4 linked regions of the Callithrix jacchus genome follow. The protein of the gene in region 1 interacts with the protein of each later gene in a pairwise test. Links are inferred from orthologs where the notes say so. Each region holds a gene or a part of one and is shown in the gene's direction. Other genes may lie near its edges.

Region 1 (4,088 bases):
AGGTCAGGAGTTCAAGACCAGCTTGACCAACATGGTGAAACCCCATCTCTACTAAAAATACAAAAATTAGTTGGACGTGGTGGCTTGCGCCTGTAATCCCAGCTACTCGGGACGCTGAAGCAGGAGAATCGCTTGAACCCAGGAAGCATAGGTTGCAATGAGCTGAGATCGTTCCATTGCACTCCAGCCTGGTGACAGAGCAATTCCATCTCAAAAAAAAAAAAGAAGTATCTGACTTGGTCACCCAGACTGGAGTGCAGTGGCGTGATCTCAGCTCACTACAGTCTTGACCTCCTGGTCTCAAGTGATTCACCCACCTCAGCCTCTCGAGTAGCAGGGACTACAGGCGAGTACCACCATGCTTGGCTAATTTTTGTTGTTTTTTTTTTTTTTGTCAAGATGGAGTTTGACCATGTTGCCCAGGCTGGTCTCAAACTCCTCAGCTCAAGGGATCTGCCTGCTGTGGCCTCCCAAAGTGCTAGGATTACAGACGTGCACCACTGCACCCAGCCCTGTAGTTCTGTTTTTTAATAAAAACACTTCTACTCTAAAAGTTATATTTAAATCTTCCTTTCTATTCACTTTGTTTAACCATACAAAATGTTCATTCAATATAATCGTATGTAGATGATCTATAAGGTTCTCTTCCCACCCTCAAATTCTATGAGTATGAATTTTAGATATTTGTAAATTAAATAAATGTCATATTAGTGTTCAGTTAGAATAAAATACAAAATTTTGCCATCCTTGATGACACTAGTAATTATGGAGAAAAAACTGGTGTCGTGTTGAAACTAATTCTCTTTTATTGTAAGCAGTGTATTTGGTGGAATTTAAAATTACATAATTTTTAAAAATTAAAACTGTTTTTAAATAGATGGGGTTTTATCACCCAGGCTGGAGTACGTGGTGTGATCAGAGCTCACTGCAGCCTCCAACTCCCAGGCTTAAGGGATCTTCCAAAACCTCTGCCTCCTGAGGAGCTGAGACCACAGGTGCATACTATGCCCAGCTAATGTTTTTAATTTTTTGTAGAGATGAGTATTGCTATGTTGCCCGGGCTGGTCTCAAACTAGCCTGGCCTTAAGCAGACCTCTTACCTTGGCCTACCAAAATGCTGGGATTAGAGGCGTGAGCCTCTAAGCTCAGCCCTAAAATTATATATATATTTCAAGAGAAATGTATGCCATAATAGTTACAGCAACAGACAGAAGTCTTGCAATTAGGTATGATTTTTCAGCATAGTGTGTGAAGTGTCAGTAAATAAACTATAGTTTTGGATTATCCTGAGGGTAGATTTTGGGTCCTATACAGACTGCACTGTTTTTTCTTTGAAAGTAAAAAGTGATTATGAAGGAAAGCTTGAAGGATATTTGCAGAGAAGAGGTAGACTTCTTTGCGCCTGATTTGGAGATGGGGAAGGGAGAATGTAGGCCGAAGGTGGCATCTTGAACCAGGGCTTCATTCTCTTTGCAACTGGCCGAGGGTACTTCCCTCAGAAACAGTTTACATATCCTCAGATGGTTTCTAAATGGTTTTAGTTAGAGATTCTGGAGAAGGCAAGTTAAATCGGCCTTAGAATCTTACATTTTATTTCTTTTCAAGTACCTCTCTTTCCTTACCAAATAAAAAAACTACATTAACAAGCTCAGTGTGGTGACCCACACCTGTAATTTCAACACTTTGGAAGGCCAAGGCCACAGGATCACTTGAGCCCAGGAGTTTGAGACCATCCTGGGCAACATAGCAAGACCCAGTCTCTACAAAAAAAAAAATTTTTAATTAGTCAGGAGTGGTGGTACACCTATAGTCCCAGCCACTCAGGAGACTGAAGCAGGAGGACTGTTTAAGCCTAGGAGTTTGAGAATGCAGTGAGCTATGATCTGCACCCCAGCCTGGGCAACAGAGCAAGATCCCATCTCAAAAAAAAAAGAAAATTTGATTGACAGTATTCAATGGCTGGAGTGATTAAATTGTAATCAGAACAGCAGAGCTACATAAACTTAAAAAGAAGATGGAAAAGGCATTTTTATCATGATGATTGATCTCTAACTGTAACCTAGATATTGCAAAGTAAATATGGTTTTCTTTATACAATTTTGTTTGTAGCACTGGACAAGACACTGTTTCCAATCCTACTTATATGAACCAGAAATCTAACCTACAATCAGCTACTGGTACAACTGCTTACACACAGCAAATGGGGATGTCTGTGGATATGTCATCTTATCAGAACACTACTTCCAATTTGCCTCAACTGACAGGCTTTCCGGTGACAGTTCCAGCTCATCCAGTTGCACAGCAGCACACAAATTACCATCAGCAGCCTCTCCTTTAGAAATAAAGCAGCCATTTTCTTGAAAGCCTTCATAAGTGTATTCAATCCTTGTGATTCCAACCTGAAAACATTAAAACTTTTTTCCTCTCAACTCAAAAGGACTATACATAAAAAAAGCACAAAAACCTCTCATACTCTACAAGGCCATAAAAGGTTTTTTTTTTTCAGTCCAGTTTGTTTGAAGTCAATCTTTTGATTAGAGGCAGCTTAAAGATGCTTTCAGTTAGTTTTGTCTTACTTTCTAATTTATCTACATAAATCTAGATACCTGTTAGGTAGCCTTATGACACTAAACAGTATAAGATAGGAGTGTTAAAATATTATTTTAAAGAAACCACTGTTTTCCCCTAAAATGTCATAAGAGCACTAAAGAACTTGAAATATTTTTTTCAGAGTATCTCACTAACTTTTGTGTGTAAGCATTTAGCTTGCCAGCATATTTCCTTTTGGCTCCTTAAATTGCAGTTGTGTTTGCAGTATTGTCACTTTTGCTCTCACGATATGTTGAGTAGTAATTAGCATATAAGCAAGAGCAATTTGGAAGGAACAAAAATGCTTTCTGTGATTAACAGTGAAGACCTTATAAATGCAGATGTGTGATAAAGTCCCCAGCCAGTCATGCCAACTGTGCAGGAATTTGTCCCACAAAACATTTCCATTCTCTAAGGAAAAACATTTCCTTTTCTACATGTATCTCTGGTATTTAGAATTGCCACTAGTAACCTTTTCAAGTGGCTTTGGCTATTCTCTAATGAAGATATATGGTCCATTTGTTTTTCTCCCTGCAATATGGTGTGCAGAGATGCTGCATATCCTTTTTATGGATTTTCATGTGATTTTGAGCTGTGAGACATTCCTAATAATTTGTTGTGAGATATACCAAGCATGGATGATAAGTGTGTTTTTAGTGATGTGGTTTCTTTTTTTTTTTTTAAGTGATTCAAGTACCGTTGCTAAGCTGTCAGCATACTAAGCTGTTGAAAAAATCGACCATTTCTTTCAGAAGTAATTCCGAACTTGTGGAATAATAGCAGGTGATGACTTCATAGAAGATGACAGACTGATAGGGAGGCTATTGAAGCAGTTTTTCTGAAGCCTGTATTTTGAGTTAGTTTATAGTGCTAATAGGTTCTATATAACTGTGGGAGTTTGGTAGTAAGCCAGTAGGGATTATTTTCTCTCCTAAAAATTTGCACACTACTCCATTGTCTACCAATTTTTTTCATAATGCAAAATAGAAATTGTAAATACATATGCATATGGAAACATGTTCAGACTGGGAAAAACAATGGACATTAGTTTTTAAAAAGTTACTTGCATGGAAGCAAGATTTCTATATTTGTTTTTTTAAAGCAGTCAGTCTTGCTACTAAATCCATTTCAAGATAGTTCTCTGAGGATTTTGTTATTTATCTACAGAGATTTGATTATAAATATGTTCCTTTTTCAAAGAAACTTTATCCTAGAACAGAGTAGTCTATATGGTACTTGATCTACATTTAAATGGAAAAATGAGCAGTATTTGAAAGCTCAGTTTATGTCAATGTCTTACTTCAGATACAAAAAACTGAACAGAAAGTTTTAACCTTTAATATCTCATGTCCTGTTTTTCATTCAGTATTTTCCTATATGTTAATTCAGTTATAAACTTCTGAATGGCACCATTTTGGAAACAAATTTGTTCTTTACAAAATAATAATTTTTAAAAAACATTAAAAAAATCCAAAGCTGCTCTTGGTAATAGTCAACAT
Region 2 (4,582 bases), on another chromosome or scaffold:
AATCAACAGACTTTAAACACTTATTTTGAAAGGCATCACAGTTTTCCTCCAGAATTTGAATTTATTCATGGGAGCAGTCTCTAAAGGAAGTCCTAGGCACAATTAATGACACGTGCTTTAATAATTGAAGAAGTGTATACGTAAATTTGGGCACATTGATAGTATATCACATTGTGGGTTAAAGTAACCAGCAATATAAATACAGCTTCCACAAGCAGAGCATAAAAACTGACACACGCTTTTCTTGGTTTATTGGGTAGGAGGATGCTAATACCCTAACCTTACGATAAGATAAGCTTTCTAAGACCGTAACTGACTAACTGCAAAGAATACTGCTCTGGTTCTTATCAGGAAAAGTCCATTATAATCATTTTAGGCACGAAACTTTCTACGCATTAGAATTATTCTGAGGTGAAAAGGTATGCTATTAAGAAAATTCATTTTGCAAAGAGGAATAATTTTTTTTAAGCTCTAAAGCTTTCTCATAAATTAGCAAAGTAGCTTAGGATCCTATTAGGATATTTCCTCGGAAGTTTGGAGGGGTCTGTGTTCTACCAGGTGATGCCTGATATAGCTCATGAGTCAATGAGGGGACAGAGAGTAGTAACCCTTGCCGTGCGCTCCGGGCTGCCTCGGGTACTTTATTTACGGATGCTGGATGTTCCAAAATAACCCAGTCCTTTCGTTCCCGCTCCTACCGAGGTGCCGGGAAAGCACCCCCGCACCTATGCGGGCCAGGCAAGTCGTGCGCCCTGCAAGCGGTAACTGAGCTCGGCGTCGTCCTTCCCGAAGTCCTTGGCTTACACCTCTCCCGTCGAGTCGCCCCCAAAGTCCCTCCTCCAGACATCCCCTTCCTTATGGGGGCAAAAGTTTAAGGGCTGGCTCCCTTCTCATTAAAGTGCGCCGGGGTCTCTCTCGTGGCTGGACCTGGACCGTAAAGGAGCCCGAGTGTCCACGGCGCTTTGCTTGCTCTTCTCTAGCCCCAGCTCGGCGGGTGGGGACAGACGCTGACACTGTCGGTGGCCGGCGCTGACGCGTCCTGGCCGTCGGGTGCCTCCTAGCTTGAGGGACTTATTTAAATATTTGGGGCAGGGCACCCTCCTAGGACCCCAGGAAGCCAGCGCAGGTTCGGCGGGGACCCGGCGCAGCGCGAGCACGGGGTGCGCGTGGGTGCCAGTGAGGGTGCGTTCGGGGCCAGAGGGAGGCGGACCCGCCAGGCGGCAGGTGGGTGCGGCCGGCTGGAGCCAGGGCAGCGCGGCGGCAGCAAGTGGTTGGGCCGTGCGCATTTCCTTCCCTCCCCCTCGGCCTCGGAGCCCGCCCGCGACGCCCTGTGTGCGGCGCTCTCGGCTCCGCTCGGCGTCCCCTCCCAGCCGCCGCCGGTCGCTCCCTTCTCCGTCCGTCCATGTCCCTGCCCGTGGTGCTCCCGGGCTCCTGCTGCCCAGTGGCTGGGCTTTCGGGTGGGCCGCAGGCCGGGGGCCCGGGAGCCGCCGCCGCCGCCGCCCAGGAGCCGCCGCTGCCCCCGCTGCGGCCGCGCTGGCCCCGGGGCGCGCTGCAGCCCCCGGCGCGGCCTCGCTGCACTGCCGCAGCTGCTGCCGGGGTGCTGGCCGCGCCGCCCGCGCTCACTTCCCGCCGGGCAGCCGCCGCCGCCGCCGCCGCACCGGGCTCCGCGCTCCTGCCCGCCCGCCCGCTGCTGTCACTCGGGCTGCTGCAGCTGATCCTGGGTTGCTGCATGGTGGCGCTCAGCTTCGGGGCGCTGTCGCTGAGCAGCTCTCCGCAGGTGAAGAACTCGTGCCCATTCTGGGCCGGCTCTTCGGTGAGTACTGCGCGCGCGCGCGCGCGCCGCTCGACGACGCACTCCGGGGATAGGGGGCTCTGGTCGATCCGCTCCATTGCCCCTTAGTAATGGTCCTCCAGGGCTTCAACTGAAGTTTTTGGAAGCTGGAGAAAGATGTTCTGCCACAGTCGAGTTCAGGGGAGAATTGGGTTGTACCTGGGTAGTGTCTGTGGCTCGCAGGTTAAAGGATTTTATTGTCACTGTCAAGCTAATAGAATTAAACAAAGATACCCAGCTTTTTGGGAGATTGAAAGGCCAGGATGTGGGTGGCAGGAAAGTGGGAGGAAAATGATTAAAGTTCTTTTGGCCATTGAGTAATTACTGCACTAACACCATCTGTGCTGGAAGACCAGGTATTGTGATCATTTTTGTCCACTGATGTATCAAGAATGCCTGGCACATAGTAGGTGTATTTGTGGGATGGGACAGGTTGACTGGGGTACATCGCTTATTTTATTCTGCATTAAGACACACGTACTTGTGAGGTGTAGGGTGGCTCGACCCCCAGACAAATTCAGGAGGTAACGAGAGGGTGTGTGTGAACTGGCACTTGTACCTGGTCATTAAAGGAGAGCCTTAACCCTAGTGGGTTCCTGGAGCCATGCAGGCTGCTGTGCAGAATTCAGTTTGTGAGACCCGGGACCTGTCATTACGGATGAGCTGGCCAAAGCTCCTGGAGCGCCTGGCAGCTAGCTAGAGAGATGTCTGCTCTCCAGGACCCACTCCTCCCTCCTCCAACCAGGAACGCTGAGCCTGGGGCCAAAGAGTACCCAACTTCAGAGAAAAGCTGCTGCCAGCCAGTATCTATGGACACCGGGTGGCCACTCCCCCCTGCGTCCTAACAATCTCACAACTTCCAAGGCATCCAACCCTTTGAAGTTTGCTGAGTGTGGAGAGACTTGGAAACACAACCTTGTGGAATGTATGTGGAAGATGAGCACAGCAAAGTAGATAACCTTTCTTTATATACCTTTAAAAAAGTTTATTTGTTTTTTATTTTTAAGGGACAGGATTTCCCCATGTTGCCGAGGCTATTTTCCATCTCCAAGTGATCCTCCTGCCTCAGCCTCCCAAAGTGTGGGGATTATAGATGTGAGCCACCACACCAGGCTTTAAATAACCTTTCTATGGACTCACTATGTAAATCTGAAAGTCTGGCAATGCTGGTAGTTTTTAGTTTTCATACTATCTGTAATCAGTGCATGTCCTGAATGGTAAGAACTGCTTTTATAGTTCCACGCATACCCCAATTCAAGAGCAAATTGAAAAAAAGGATTCGAAGAACTCATTGAACCCAAGGTAATTGAATAAAAACGCTAAGAACATTAGGTTCCTTGAGACTCGCCTGAAGTTGTATACTTCATCCAGTGCCAGTTTGCTTTCCTTTTGAAATACTTTCATATTGAATGATCTTATTGAGGTACATGCTGTGCTGTGGTGAGCAAAGGCCACAATTTGTGCCTCATGTAGAAAAAAATCCCACCCTGGTGGCGCTGCCTGTGGGCTCTGCCACTAGCCTCTTTGAGTGTTCTGGGAAACTCCAGAAGGATGGATATTCCAGACAGGATAGGAATTAGACCCATTATGCTACTTACTGTGCTTGTCTGATTAAATCCTGCCAAATGGTGGATGCATTCATTTCTCTAAATACTATGGGCCAGTAATAATCTTGCATATATTTTAAGGAATTTGTTCTTTATAAAATCATACTCTATTGTCTTCTCAAACATAGCTTTTTTTTTGTCTTTTCAAATTAAAGGCTGAATTCAGTTTACTGTTGTGAATCATTTCAGAGGTAAATACAGTTAGATATCAGTCAAGCCACAGTTGTATTTGATGAAGTACCAAAAAAAATGTTATATATATATATATATATATATATATATATATATATATATATATATATATAAAATAAAAGGCCTTCAACCAGAAGGTGAAGGTTAATACTCCTGGTCTGCTGGCTGGGTATGCCCTTGTCTCCAAGTCTGAGCACACCAGAGCAGAGAAAGAAATCAGTGATTTGGAACTGACAAGTTCTCTGCTATGTCTTTTTTCCATACTTCCCCATACCCTCCAAACCCAGGTCTATATGCAACTTTGTAACTGTTCATTATTCCTATTTTCTGTGACTTATTCCTGAGGTTGGCCTCAGAATTTGCAAAGTGACACCAGAAGCAAGAGATACTGTATTTATAGAAAAATTAACTAAATACAATTTTAAGAGGATGGCATTAGGCACCATGACTCTCTTGGTGCTTTAGGGAAAAAAAATCTTGTGTCACATGGTTTGAATTTATGTATGCGACAGTTTTTTTTTTAAGCCTCATGTTATGGAAAGTTTACATTTATGCACTATCTGATCTGAATTCATGATTATCTCTGAGTCCATGATTCTTCCAAGATTCACTTTTATATAAAGAGACAGACATTGGTAAACTTTAGGGTAAACTTTTTAAAAAAAAATTGCAGTGACTACACATAATGAAAAATCAATGGATCAAAGAAAAAAAATGAACATAAAGATTATGGTTACTACCAGTTAAATGATAGTAAATATTTTTTATTATACTAAGCAAATACTACTTTAGTATTTAAGGGATATTTAAAATATAATTTTTGGGATGAGTTTATTGGTTTCTTTGATCCTTCATTTTGCATATCAGCAGTCACATTTATAAGTTCTGTGCCTCTCGGCCTTGGTTACTCATGGGTAAAATGGGTGGGATGCTGCTTCTTCAAGATTGATTT
Region 3 (4,794 bases), on another chromosome or scaffold:
GTTGTTTGAGCTGTTCATTCAACCAAGGAGAGAGCATACTCTACCTTGGGCAGTGTGCCAGCCTTGCACAGAGGGACAGATGATTCAGCTTGATCAGGCTGTGACAGAGAAAAGCTCAGGGTCTGAGAACGCAGAGGAAGCGACTAACTCAGACTGGAGGGTAAGGTGAGGCTCCCCAGGGGAAATGAAGTTGTGTCCGCCCAAGAAGCAGAAAGTTTGGGATTGGGGAGAAGTTGGTTTCTGTGAGAGAAACAAAGGCCCCAGGCAGAGCCAATAGTCTTCCAGATAACGAACATCACTTTAGAGAGCCGAGTTTAGAATTTGTGAAGGAGGGGACAATGCTGCTAATGCTCATAGGTGGGTGATGAAAAATGAGAACACATGGACACAGAAAGGGGAGTACTAAACACTGGGGTCTATTGGGGGGAAAAGGGGAGGGCTAGTGGGAGGGGGAGGTGGGGAGGGATAGCCTGGGGAGAAATGCCAAATGTGGGTGAAGGGGAGAAGAAAAGCAAAGCACACTGCCATGTGTGTACCTATGCAACTGTCTTGCATGCTCTGCTCATGTACCCCAAAACCTATAATCCAATAAAAAATTAAAAAAAAAAAAAAAAAGAAAAGAAAAGGGAGTCGGATTTGTAAACCCCTCTGCCTTCCGGGTTCAAGCGATTCTCCTGCCTCAGCCTCCCGAGTAGCTGGGACTACAGGCGCGCGCCACCATGCCCGGCTATTTTTTTGCATTTTTAGTGGAGACGGTGTTTCACTGCGTTAGCCAGGATGGTCTCTATCTCCTGACCTCATGATCCGCCCGCCTCTGCCTCCCAAAGTTTGTGATCACAGGCTTGAGGCACCGTGTCCTGCTTAAGGATTGTTTTAAGGACAGCCTTGAGGAGACATTGAAGGTTTTAACAGGAGAATAACATGATCCAATTTAAATTTTAAAAAGATAACTCTCAACTCTGCAAACAGTGGATTGGATGTGGGCAATGATCAACTCAGGAGCAGCTGAGAGTCTACTGCAGAAGAGTGGGTGAGGGATGATGGTGGCTTGGACTTCGGTGCTTGGACTGGAAAGAAATGGAACAATCTAATACACAACTGGAAGAAGAATCTCTCTGGCTGTGATGTGGGAGGATAAGGAAGTGATTGGAGCGGTAAGGAGGGTTCATTAACGAGCTAGGACTTTATTTTGAAGGGATAAAGGGGACGACTTTTAATATTTTAATCTTGGGACTGATTCATTCCGATATGGGTTTATATAAATAGACCGCTTGTCAAAGGGTACTGAGAAGACTGTCAGACACTGCACAGGTAAGAACTGAGACCCAGACCGGGCGGGCGCAGTGTATGTGGTGAGGTGCCGGAGATGGGAGATTGGTTTCGGGGACGGGTACGGAGCCAAGCAGTCAGAGAGAAGCGAAAATTGACGCAGCCCCAGGAACAGCTGCTGGGGGCGGAGGGGGATGGGAGCCGCCGGAGCCACCCTCGCCCCCTGGCGCCGGGGGCGGGACTAGAGCACGCACGGCGCGATGACGTAGGGTCTGAGCCTGCCTCGTTGTGGTTGCTGCCGCCGCGCTGAGGCGGAGTAGGATGAGGCCCGCGGCCGTGGCTCCGGCGTCGGCGGGGGCAGCAGCAGCTGAGGCAGCAGCTGAGGCAGCCGCGACGGCCGCGCCCCCCCCTCCTGACCTGGATTAGGCCCAGCAGCTCCGTGGCCGCCGCCGCCCCGCGGGGGGGCGGGGTGGGGAAGTGCTTCGTCTCCCCGCCCCCCCCCCCATCGCCGCCTCGCAGGAGGCAACCGCCGCGACCCCAGCGGAGCCCGCGGCCCAGCCTTGAGCCCCCACCTCCGGGGGCTGGCATGAGCGGCCCCTCGGCGGCACCGCGGGGCGGTGGAATCACCTGCGCCTGATCCCCGGCCTGCCGCCCGACCCCACCTCGCCGACCGAGGCTGACCGCGGAGCTTGCGAACGACCCCACCGCTGCTTTATCCTCCCCCAGATCACGCACCGCAGCTCCGGAAGATGGGGAACTGCCTCAAATCCCCCACCTCGGATGACATCTCCCTCCTTCACGAGTCTCAGTCCGACCGGGCTAGCTTTGGTGAGGGAACGGAGCCGGATCAGGAGCCGCCGCCGCCATATCAGGTAGGGGAGGGTGTGTGTTGGAGGGAGCGAGGAGTAGAGGCAGCTCTGGCTGAGACTGTGGGGGCTTCGGGCGGTCTCTGCCCCTGGCTTCGGCAAGGCCTGGCCTGGGCGGCATTGACCCCCTTAGGGCTGGATCTGAGGACATTTGCTCTCTGTTCGCAGAATAGGGTTGGTTCTTCGCCTCCCCTCGGGCACCGTGTGGGGATGGTACCCTCTGCCCTTGAGTTCTGGGATCAGAGAACGTGATCACATCCCCTAGGCCAGTGTCTGGTGGTTCGCTTGTGGAGTTTGGGAGTGACATTTTCCTGCCTTTATGTCTGAATCGTGTGATTTCCTCGTCGCACCGCCAACTGGATTATGGGTTCTGGATAGGTGGTTGCCAAGCACTACCCCCCCACCCCGCCCCATTTATGTTTTCATGTGTGGTCATCCTCTTACCCCCTCCTTCGTCTTTGTTAATTGGATCTGGCAGGTCTTCATTTCTCCCTCAGCTTCGGAGACGGATCTCCAAGTGATTTTAGCCCTAGCGACATCAGGCTACTTGTTTATATATATATACATGTATATAAATTTTAATCCCTCCTCCTTTTGCTCCACCCATATGACACACCTTTTAAACGTGCTGACTTAAGAAAACTTGATTAGCTTGAACTTTGGAAACCTTTAAACCTGACGGGAAATTCCTTCGGTTACTCGTGGTGTTCTCCCTTTGTATCAAAGACTCCTAAATAGATTTTACTGCTTTTTGTACAACAATCATTAGTCCCAGATGTGTTACAGAATTAGAATGACTAATTCTTAAACTCAAAATAGGTATGTGGATGTTTAATCCATAATATATATGTAAAAACATTTCCTGTACTTTTTTCATTTTAGATGATATTGAATACAATCTTTCAGAGGGCTTCAGTAGTAGTACTTAATTTTTTCCTGAAGAGTTTAGTTTTCTGACTGGGCATTCTCCTTTGTTTCATGTGGTGACATCATTACCTAGTGTTTTCTCATTCCTGTGTAAACCAGTGTCTCGTCACACCAGAAAAACCTGATCATATATGCCGATTTTCTGAATATAATTCTTCTGGGGCATTTCATGTATACCAGTAAAGTCCAGTCTTGATTGTGGCATACAGAAGCCTCCATGGCTTCTCTCTATTACGTTCTAGATTCTAGGCCTACCAAATACACCAGGCTCTTCACACCTTTGTTTTGCTTCAGTTGCTCTCTGCTTGGAGCCCTTCCCCCAGGTCAACCAGGTGGACATCTAATCCTCTTTGAGAACTCAAGCTTTTGTGTCTGAAGTCCCAGCATTCCCTTCCCTCCCAGCCCGAATCCCTTGTTTGTGTCCCCACTGAAACCACTACACTTCCATAAGTAATATCTATAACACTTTAATGTTCTATCTTTGTGAGATGTGTGTCTCATTTTTGTATTCGCCTTTTTCAGTGCAAGCTGCGTGAAGGTAGGGAATCTGTTTCTGGTTTGCTGTTGTATCCCTTACATCTGCCTCAGTAGGTAGTAACTGGGAGATAAATGATGAGTAAAAGCCCTTGAAAACAGGGACTCTTCCCCTCACTCAATTTCTGGCACATAAGCACCTAACTGAATGGATTAATGACGTTGAATTCAGTATTTTCTGTATTTACACAACTATTTTTTCCAAAGTACAATGTCACAAGGATAGTCTCAAGAAAGCTTAATCTGGGCCGGATACAGTGGCTCATGCCTGTAATCTCAGCACTTTGGGAGGCGGAGGCCGGAGGATCACCTGAGGTCGGGAGTTTAAGGCCAGCCTGACCAAATGGAGAAACCCAGTCTCTACTAAAAATACAAAATTAGCTGGGCATGGTGGCACATGCCTGTAATCCCAGCTACTTGGGAGGCTGAGGCAGGAGAATCGCTTGAACCTGGGAGGTGGAGGTTGCAGTGAGCCAAGATTGCCCCACTGCACTCCAGCCTGGGCAACAAAGAGCGAAACTTTGTCTCAAAAAAAAGCTGAAGCTGGATGTCTTTACAAGTACCTTTGAGTGAAGCAAGCAAGCTGTGTTTATATTTCACTCTCTTTCCCTCCCTTATTTACTATACAACAAAAGTGGTTATTTCCTTTTTTTTTCTTTTTGAGATGGAGTCTTGTTAATGTTGCCCAGGCTAGAGTGCAGTGGCATGATCTTGGCTCACCACAGCCTCTACCTCCTGGGTTCAGGCAATTCTGCCTTAGCCTCCCAGGTAGCTGGGATTACCGGCATGTGACACCATGCCCTGCTAATTTTGTATTTTTAGTACAAATGGAGTTTCTCCTTGTTGGTCAGGCTGGTCTCAAACTCCCAACCTCAGGTGATCCATCTCGGTCTCCCAAAGTTTTGGGATTACAGGCATGAACCACCACACCTGGTCACGTCGAGACACAATTTCACCATGGTCAGGCTGGTGTTGAACTCCTGACCTCAAATAGTCCACCTGCTTTGGCCTCCCAAATTGCTGGGATTACAGGTGTGTGCCACCGAATCTGGCCTGAAGTTTTTATTTTAAATCTCTTACGCTCCCTACCCTCACCTGCTTCTCTTTTTAAAAAAATTAGAGACAGGGTCTCCTATGTTACTCATAGGCCTGTCTTTAACACAGCAGCCACTTATTCTGCTAAACCTGAACATGACAT
Region 4 (4,760 bases), on another chromosome or scaffold:
GTCCTGAGGGTTTTCGTACTGGGAGGATGGGGGTATTACATGGGGAGTTAATGGGGATTAAGAGGCCTTGACCTTTTAGTTTCTCTCTGATGGGTCGGATACCCATACGGTGGGCTTTAGAGATGGGAAATTGAGGGCGGGAGAGAAAATGAGGCGAGGAGTCTTTAAGGCGGACTTGAACTGGCTGGTGGTGTGTAGCTACAGACGGGTTGTTAATGTCCCAGACCTGAGGGTGGACTCTGGGGAGTAGTTCGGATAGGGCTTTTTGGTGTTCGGTATCTGAGGTGAGGGCTAGGAGAAAGAGGCTATGTGAGTTGGCGGTGGGGAAGGTTATGATGGCCTTTAGCTTTGAAAGGATGTCTCGTCCTAGGAGGGGTACTGGGCAGGTGGGGATTACTAAAAAGGAGTGGGTAAATGGAGTGGAGTTATATGAGCACATGAGCGGTGGGGTTTGGTAGGGGATACTTGGGGTCCCGTCGATTCCCATGACTGAGACCTGGGAAGGGGTAAGATGGCCAGAATAGGAAGGAAGTATGGAGTAGGTAGCCCCCATGTCCAGCAAGAAGGAGACACTTTTACCCGCTACCTGAAGTGTGGCCCTAGGCTCGGCGAGGATAACCAGAGTCGGGGAGCCAGGGCCCCGCTAGTCGTCTAGCAGCTCTAGTAGACTGGGGAATGGAGCCCCCTCGGAGGTCGGCTCCTGGCAAGCAGGCTCCTCCCTACTGAGGGTGACCGCCGGCTGCATAACGCCAGTGTGTCTGTTTTGAGGAACCGGCACCCTGGGAAAGCTGGGGCAGTCTGACCTCCAGTGTCCCAGGAGCTGACAGGCAGGGGAAGGCTTAGTTCGTGGCCGTGGTTGTGGACAGGCCCGGGACCAGTGTCCTTCCCTTCCACATTTGAAACATGCCCCCGGAGGGGTATGGGTTTCGGCCTTGGGCCTCTGATTCCCTGCCGGCCTTAGGGCTGCCACTAGGGCTTGGGTCTGGAGGGCAACCTTCTGCTTCATGCGAGTTTGCCGGGCAGCCTCAGCCGCATCTTCCCTGGCATTGAATACTTTAAAGGCCATTTTTACCAGGTCTTGGATGGGAGTCTCTGGCCCCTCTTCTGCTTTCTTTAGTTTCCTTTTTATATCGGATGCTGATTGGGAGATAAAATGGGAGGCTAGTACAGTGGCTCCGTTTTGAGAGGCTGGATCTAGCCGAGTGTACCGGACTAGGGCTTCTTGTAAGCGGGCGAGAAAAAGGGCGGGATTCTCATCAGGTAGTTGGGTGATTTCTCTTAGTTTATCATAGTTTACAACTTTGTTAGATACAATATCCATTCCCCTGAGGAGGTATCTAATCATGCGGTCCCTCTTGGGTATATCAGACCCTCGACTAGCCTGATAGTCCCATTGGGGGGTCTTCACCTGGGATTACTTCGGGGCCTAAGGGGATCTGGTTATCTATAGCATGATCTTTATCTGCTTGGTTTTTGGCTGCCACTAGGATGTGCTCGTGCTCCTCTACTGTGAGGGTGGAGGTACAGATAACGCGGATATCATGCCAAGTGAGGCTGTATGCTTGAGTGAGGTATTGGAATTCCTTAATATAGGTGGACGAGTCGGCTGAGAAGGATCCTAACCGTTTCTCAATTTGGGACAGGTCTTGGAGTGAGAAAGGAACATGGACCCTGACTAAGCCTTCAGTGCCTGCTACTTCTCGGAGTGGGACCAGGATAGTTGGTTGGTGAGAGCGGGTGTGGGCTGCCACTGGGGAGGCAAGAGGAAGAGCGGCCTCCGAGGGAGGGGGCCCAGAGGGAGTGGAGGAAGAGCGAGGCATGGCCTCTGAGATAGAAGGTGCAGAGGGAGTGGGGGAAGGGCGTGCTGTTGAAGGCGACTGGTTGCCGAGGTTGGCAGGAGGGGACAGATGTTCAGGCAGATCTTCCGGTGAGGAGTAGGGAGGGGGAGAGGTAGTGGAGGAAGATTTACGAGGGGTACGAGCTAAGAGGATTTGGTAGGTGGAGCAGGAAGAACATAGGTTGGGGTGGGTACGGAGGTCCCAAAAAGCCTGAACGTAAGGAATTTCATTGTCTTTTCCCATGCGGCGACAAAAATTGTCGAGATCTCGGAGGGTGTTGAAATCGAAAGTGCCAGTCGGGGGCCAATGTGACTGGTTACTGAGTTTGTATTGGGGCCAAGCCACCTGGGACAGGAAGACAAGCTTTTTCTTTCTGAGGGTTTGGGAGTATCCCAATTTGGTAAAATTTCGCAGCAAGCACCCAAGGGGGGTGCTGGAAGGTATTTTGGACTCCGAATTTCCCATGGCAGGTGCAGCTACAGACCCTCCGGCGCGGTTGGGTAGATGCAAAGAAAAGGCGTCCCCTTTCGTTGCAAATTCCCAGGAGTACGGTTAAGGACGGTTAGGGAAGTGGTCAGAGGGGCGTCCCCCGTCTGGCAGCTACCCCTCGGAAGGCTCCAGGAGCCGGAACGGAGGACTACCTCGGCTCGGCCGAGACTAGGCGAGGAGTCCGTGTGGAACGCCGGAGGGGAGCAGCTGCAACCGTGCCGTAGGAGGGGTGGGGGGGGAGAGAAGGTAAAGCTAGAAAAAACTTGGCTTACCTTAATCGGAGCGCAGAGGTGGCAGGGCCAGTGTTGGGTAGGTCGGGGGGAGGGGGCCATGGCCGGGCCAGCGGCCCCAACTCCCGGGTTTCGGCACCACTTGTCCGACCTACCCTCTATGGGAAGATCAGAGCTCGTTCAGAAAAAAACTGGGCCGCAGGTTAGAAGAAAGTCTTAAGTTCAGGCTTTATTGAGAGGAAAGAGCCTCCGGGCGGACCAGCCGGGAAGCACATGAAAATGGCCGCGCCGCTCAGAGGAGCAGAGTTCTTTTATAGGGAGCTGAAGGGCTGAGGGAGTGGGGAAGCCGAGAGAGCCGAGGTGGCGGGCAACGGTTGGTCAGTTTAAACCGCTGGGCGGGAAGCTGGGCGGCAGGAAACTGGGAGGCGGGAAGCCGGGAGGCAGGAAGTTGGGGAGAGCTGATGAGGCGGGTGGTGATTGGTCAGCCGGTTGCCGGGCGGGAGGTGGCTGTGGCCGGGCGGGAAGGCCAGGACGGTATGTAGAGTGAGAGATAAGGGAGTCCCTTTGTGTGGGAGGGGGAAGGCTTTCACGACAGGGACAGAGTTTTCCAAACAACTTTGGCTTCCCAAAGTGCTAGGATTACACCTTGACTGGCTGATACTGGAGTTTTATGACTGAAGTCAGTCTCCCTGAAAATGCAGAGGCTAGGGTTGTTCAAGGACAGTTTGGCTAGCCAGGAATGAGTGCTGCTGATTGGCTGGAGAGACAATGATAGGTGTGTGGAAAATGGTCCTTGTGTGCGCTGAGTCCTCAGTACTTGTCAGAAATGCAAAAACCTGAAAAGACATTTCAAAAGGCTGATCTTAGATTCTACAATACTGATGTTATCTGCAGGGGTGACAGGGGAAGTCGTAAATCTTGTGACCTCTGGAATAATGGCTGGTAATCATGTATCTCGACATATAGCAGAATTTAGCTTTCTCTCATTCTTTAGCTTCCTAACCTGGTGGTCTTTTGTTAGCTTTACAAAAGCAGTCGAGTTTTGGGAAGGGAATCATTATCATTAAACTATGCACTAAAGCTGGGTGTGGTGGCTCATGCCTGTAATCCCAGCACTTTGGGAGGCTGAGGCGGGTGGATCATGAGGTCAAGAGATCAAGACCATCCTGACCAACATGGTGAAACACTGTCTCTATTAAAATATATAAAAATTAGTGGTGGCACGTGCCTGTAGTCCCAGCTACTCAGGAGGCTGAGGCTGGAGAATCGCTTGAACCTGGGAGGCGGAGGTTATAGTGAGTCAAGATCACACCACTGCACTCCAGCTTAGATAACAGAGCAACACTCTCTCAAAGCAAAACAAAACAATACACCAAAACCAAAATGGTCACTTAAACTATAAACTAAATGTTCCCCAGAGTTAGTTAGTCCCAAGCCCAGGAATGATGGAGAGCAGTTTGCAGGTGAAAGACAAGATGGGGGCTGGTTAAATCAGATCTCCTACACAGTGACAATTTTCCGTTAAAATTTTTGCGAAGATGGTTTCATCTGTGTGCACGTGTGCAGAAGTGCCTGTCTCTGCACATGTGTATTCCTGCCTATTTGTGTGTGAGTTGCTGAGGTTCCATACGTCCCTCTGCCTGTGTCTGTGTATTGCTAAGTGGCCTTACATGTCTGTGTGTATGATGCCACTAATGACAGCAAACACATATGTGGCACTTCCTGTGTTCCAGGGTGTGAGTGCTGCGCATGCACCAACTCAGTCCTCCCAACGACCCTTTCAGGTGGGGAAAGGAGTCCCGATCCAGACCCCCAGAGAGGGTTCTTGGATCTCTTATAAGAAAGCCTTCAGGGGAAGCAGGTGGAGTAAAGTGGAAGCAAGGTTATTAGGAAAGAAAAGGAATAAAGAATGGCCTCTCCCTAGACAGAGCGGACCTGAGGGCACTGCTGGCCATTTTTATGGTGATTTCTTGATTATATGCTGAACAAGGGGTGGATTACTCATGCCTCCTTTTTAGACTATAGGGTAACTTTCTGATGTTGCCATGGCATTTGTAAACTGTCATGGCGCTGGTGGGAGTGCAGCAGTGAGGACGACCAGAGGTCACCCTCGTCGCCATCTTGGTTTTGGTGGGATTTGGCCGGCTCTTTTACTGCAACCCGTTCAGTCAGCAAGGTCTTTTATTATTATTATTATTTTTGA

What was found.
Region 2: the proteins of STAM2 (region 1) and ENTREP1 interact in a two-hybrid assay, tested with the Homo sapiens proteins (2 studies listed by BioGRID and IntAct). The two-hybrid records come from large-scale screens. The link is inferred for Callithrix jacchus from reciprocal best matches to the Homo sapiens genes STAM2 and ENTREP1.
Region 3: the proteins of STAM2 (region 1) and RNF11 interact in binary tests that used the Homo sapiens proteins (3 or more experiments, as listed by UniProt). The link is inferred for Callithrix jacchus from reciprocal best matches to the Homo sapiens genes STAM2 and RNF11.
Region 4: the proteins of STAM2 (region 1) and LITAF interact in a two-hybrid assay, tested with the Homo sapiens proteins (4 studies listed by BioGRID and IntAct). The two-hybrid records come from large-scale screens. The link is inferred for Callithrix jacchus from reciprocal best matches to the Homo sapiens genes STAM2 and LITAF.

What each region holds. Positions count from the first base shown.
Region 1 is NC_133507.1:78,249,776-78,253,863, forward strand, and holds part of STAM2 (signal transducing adapter molecule 2), read left to right. Parts: intron 1-2,109; coding exon 2,110-2,338; 3' UTR 2,339-4,088.
Region 2 is NC_133502.1:95,571,340-95,575,921, reverse strand, and holds the start of ENTREP1 (endosomal transmembrane epsin interactor 1), read left to right. Parts: upstream 1-1,345; 5' UTR 1,346-1,402; coding exon 1,403-1,813; intron 1,814-4,582. UniProt on the Homo sapiens protein: Functions as an activator of the E3 ubiquitin protein ligase ITCH in the ubiquitination of the CXCL12-activated CXCR4 receptor. Thereby, triggers CXCR4 endocytosis and desensitization, negatively regulating the CXCL12/CXCR4 signaling pathway.
Region 3 is NC_133508.1:88,115,085-88,119,878, forward strand, and holds the start of RNF11 (RING finger protein 11), read left to right. Parts: upstream 1-1,557; 5' UTR 1,558-2,018; coding exon 2,019-2,141; intron 2,142-2,579; exon of another isoform or gene 2,580-2,666; intron 2,667-4,794. UniProt on the Homo sapiens protein: Essential component of a ubiquitin-editing protein complex, comprising also TNFAIP3, ITCH and TAX1BP1, that ensures the transient nature of inflammatory signaling pathways. Promotes the association of TNFAIP3 to RIPK1 after TNF stimulation.
Region 4 is NC_133513.1:17,479,242-17,484,001, forward strand, and holds the start of LITAF (lipopolysaccharide-induced tumor necrosis factor-alpha factor), read left to right. Parts: upstream 1-1,523; 5' UTR 1,524-1,727; intron 1,728-4,760.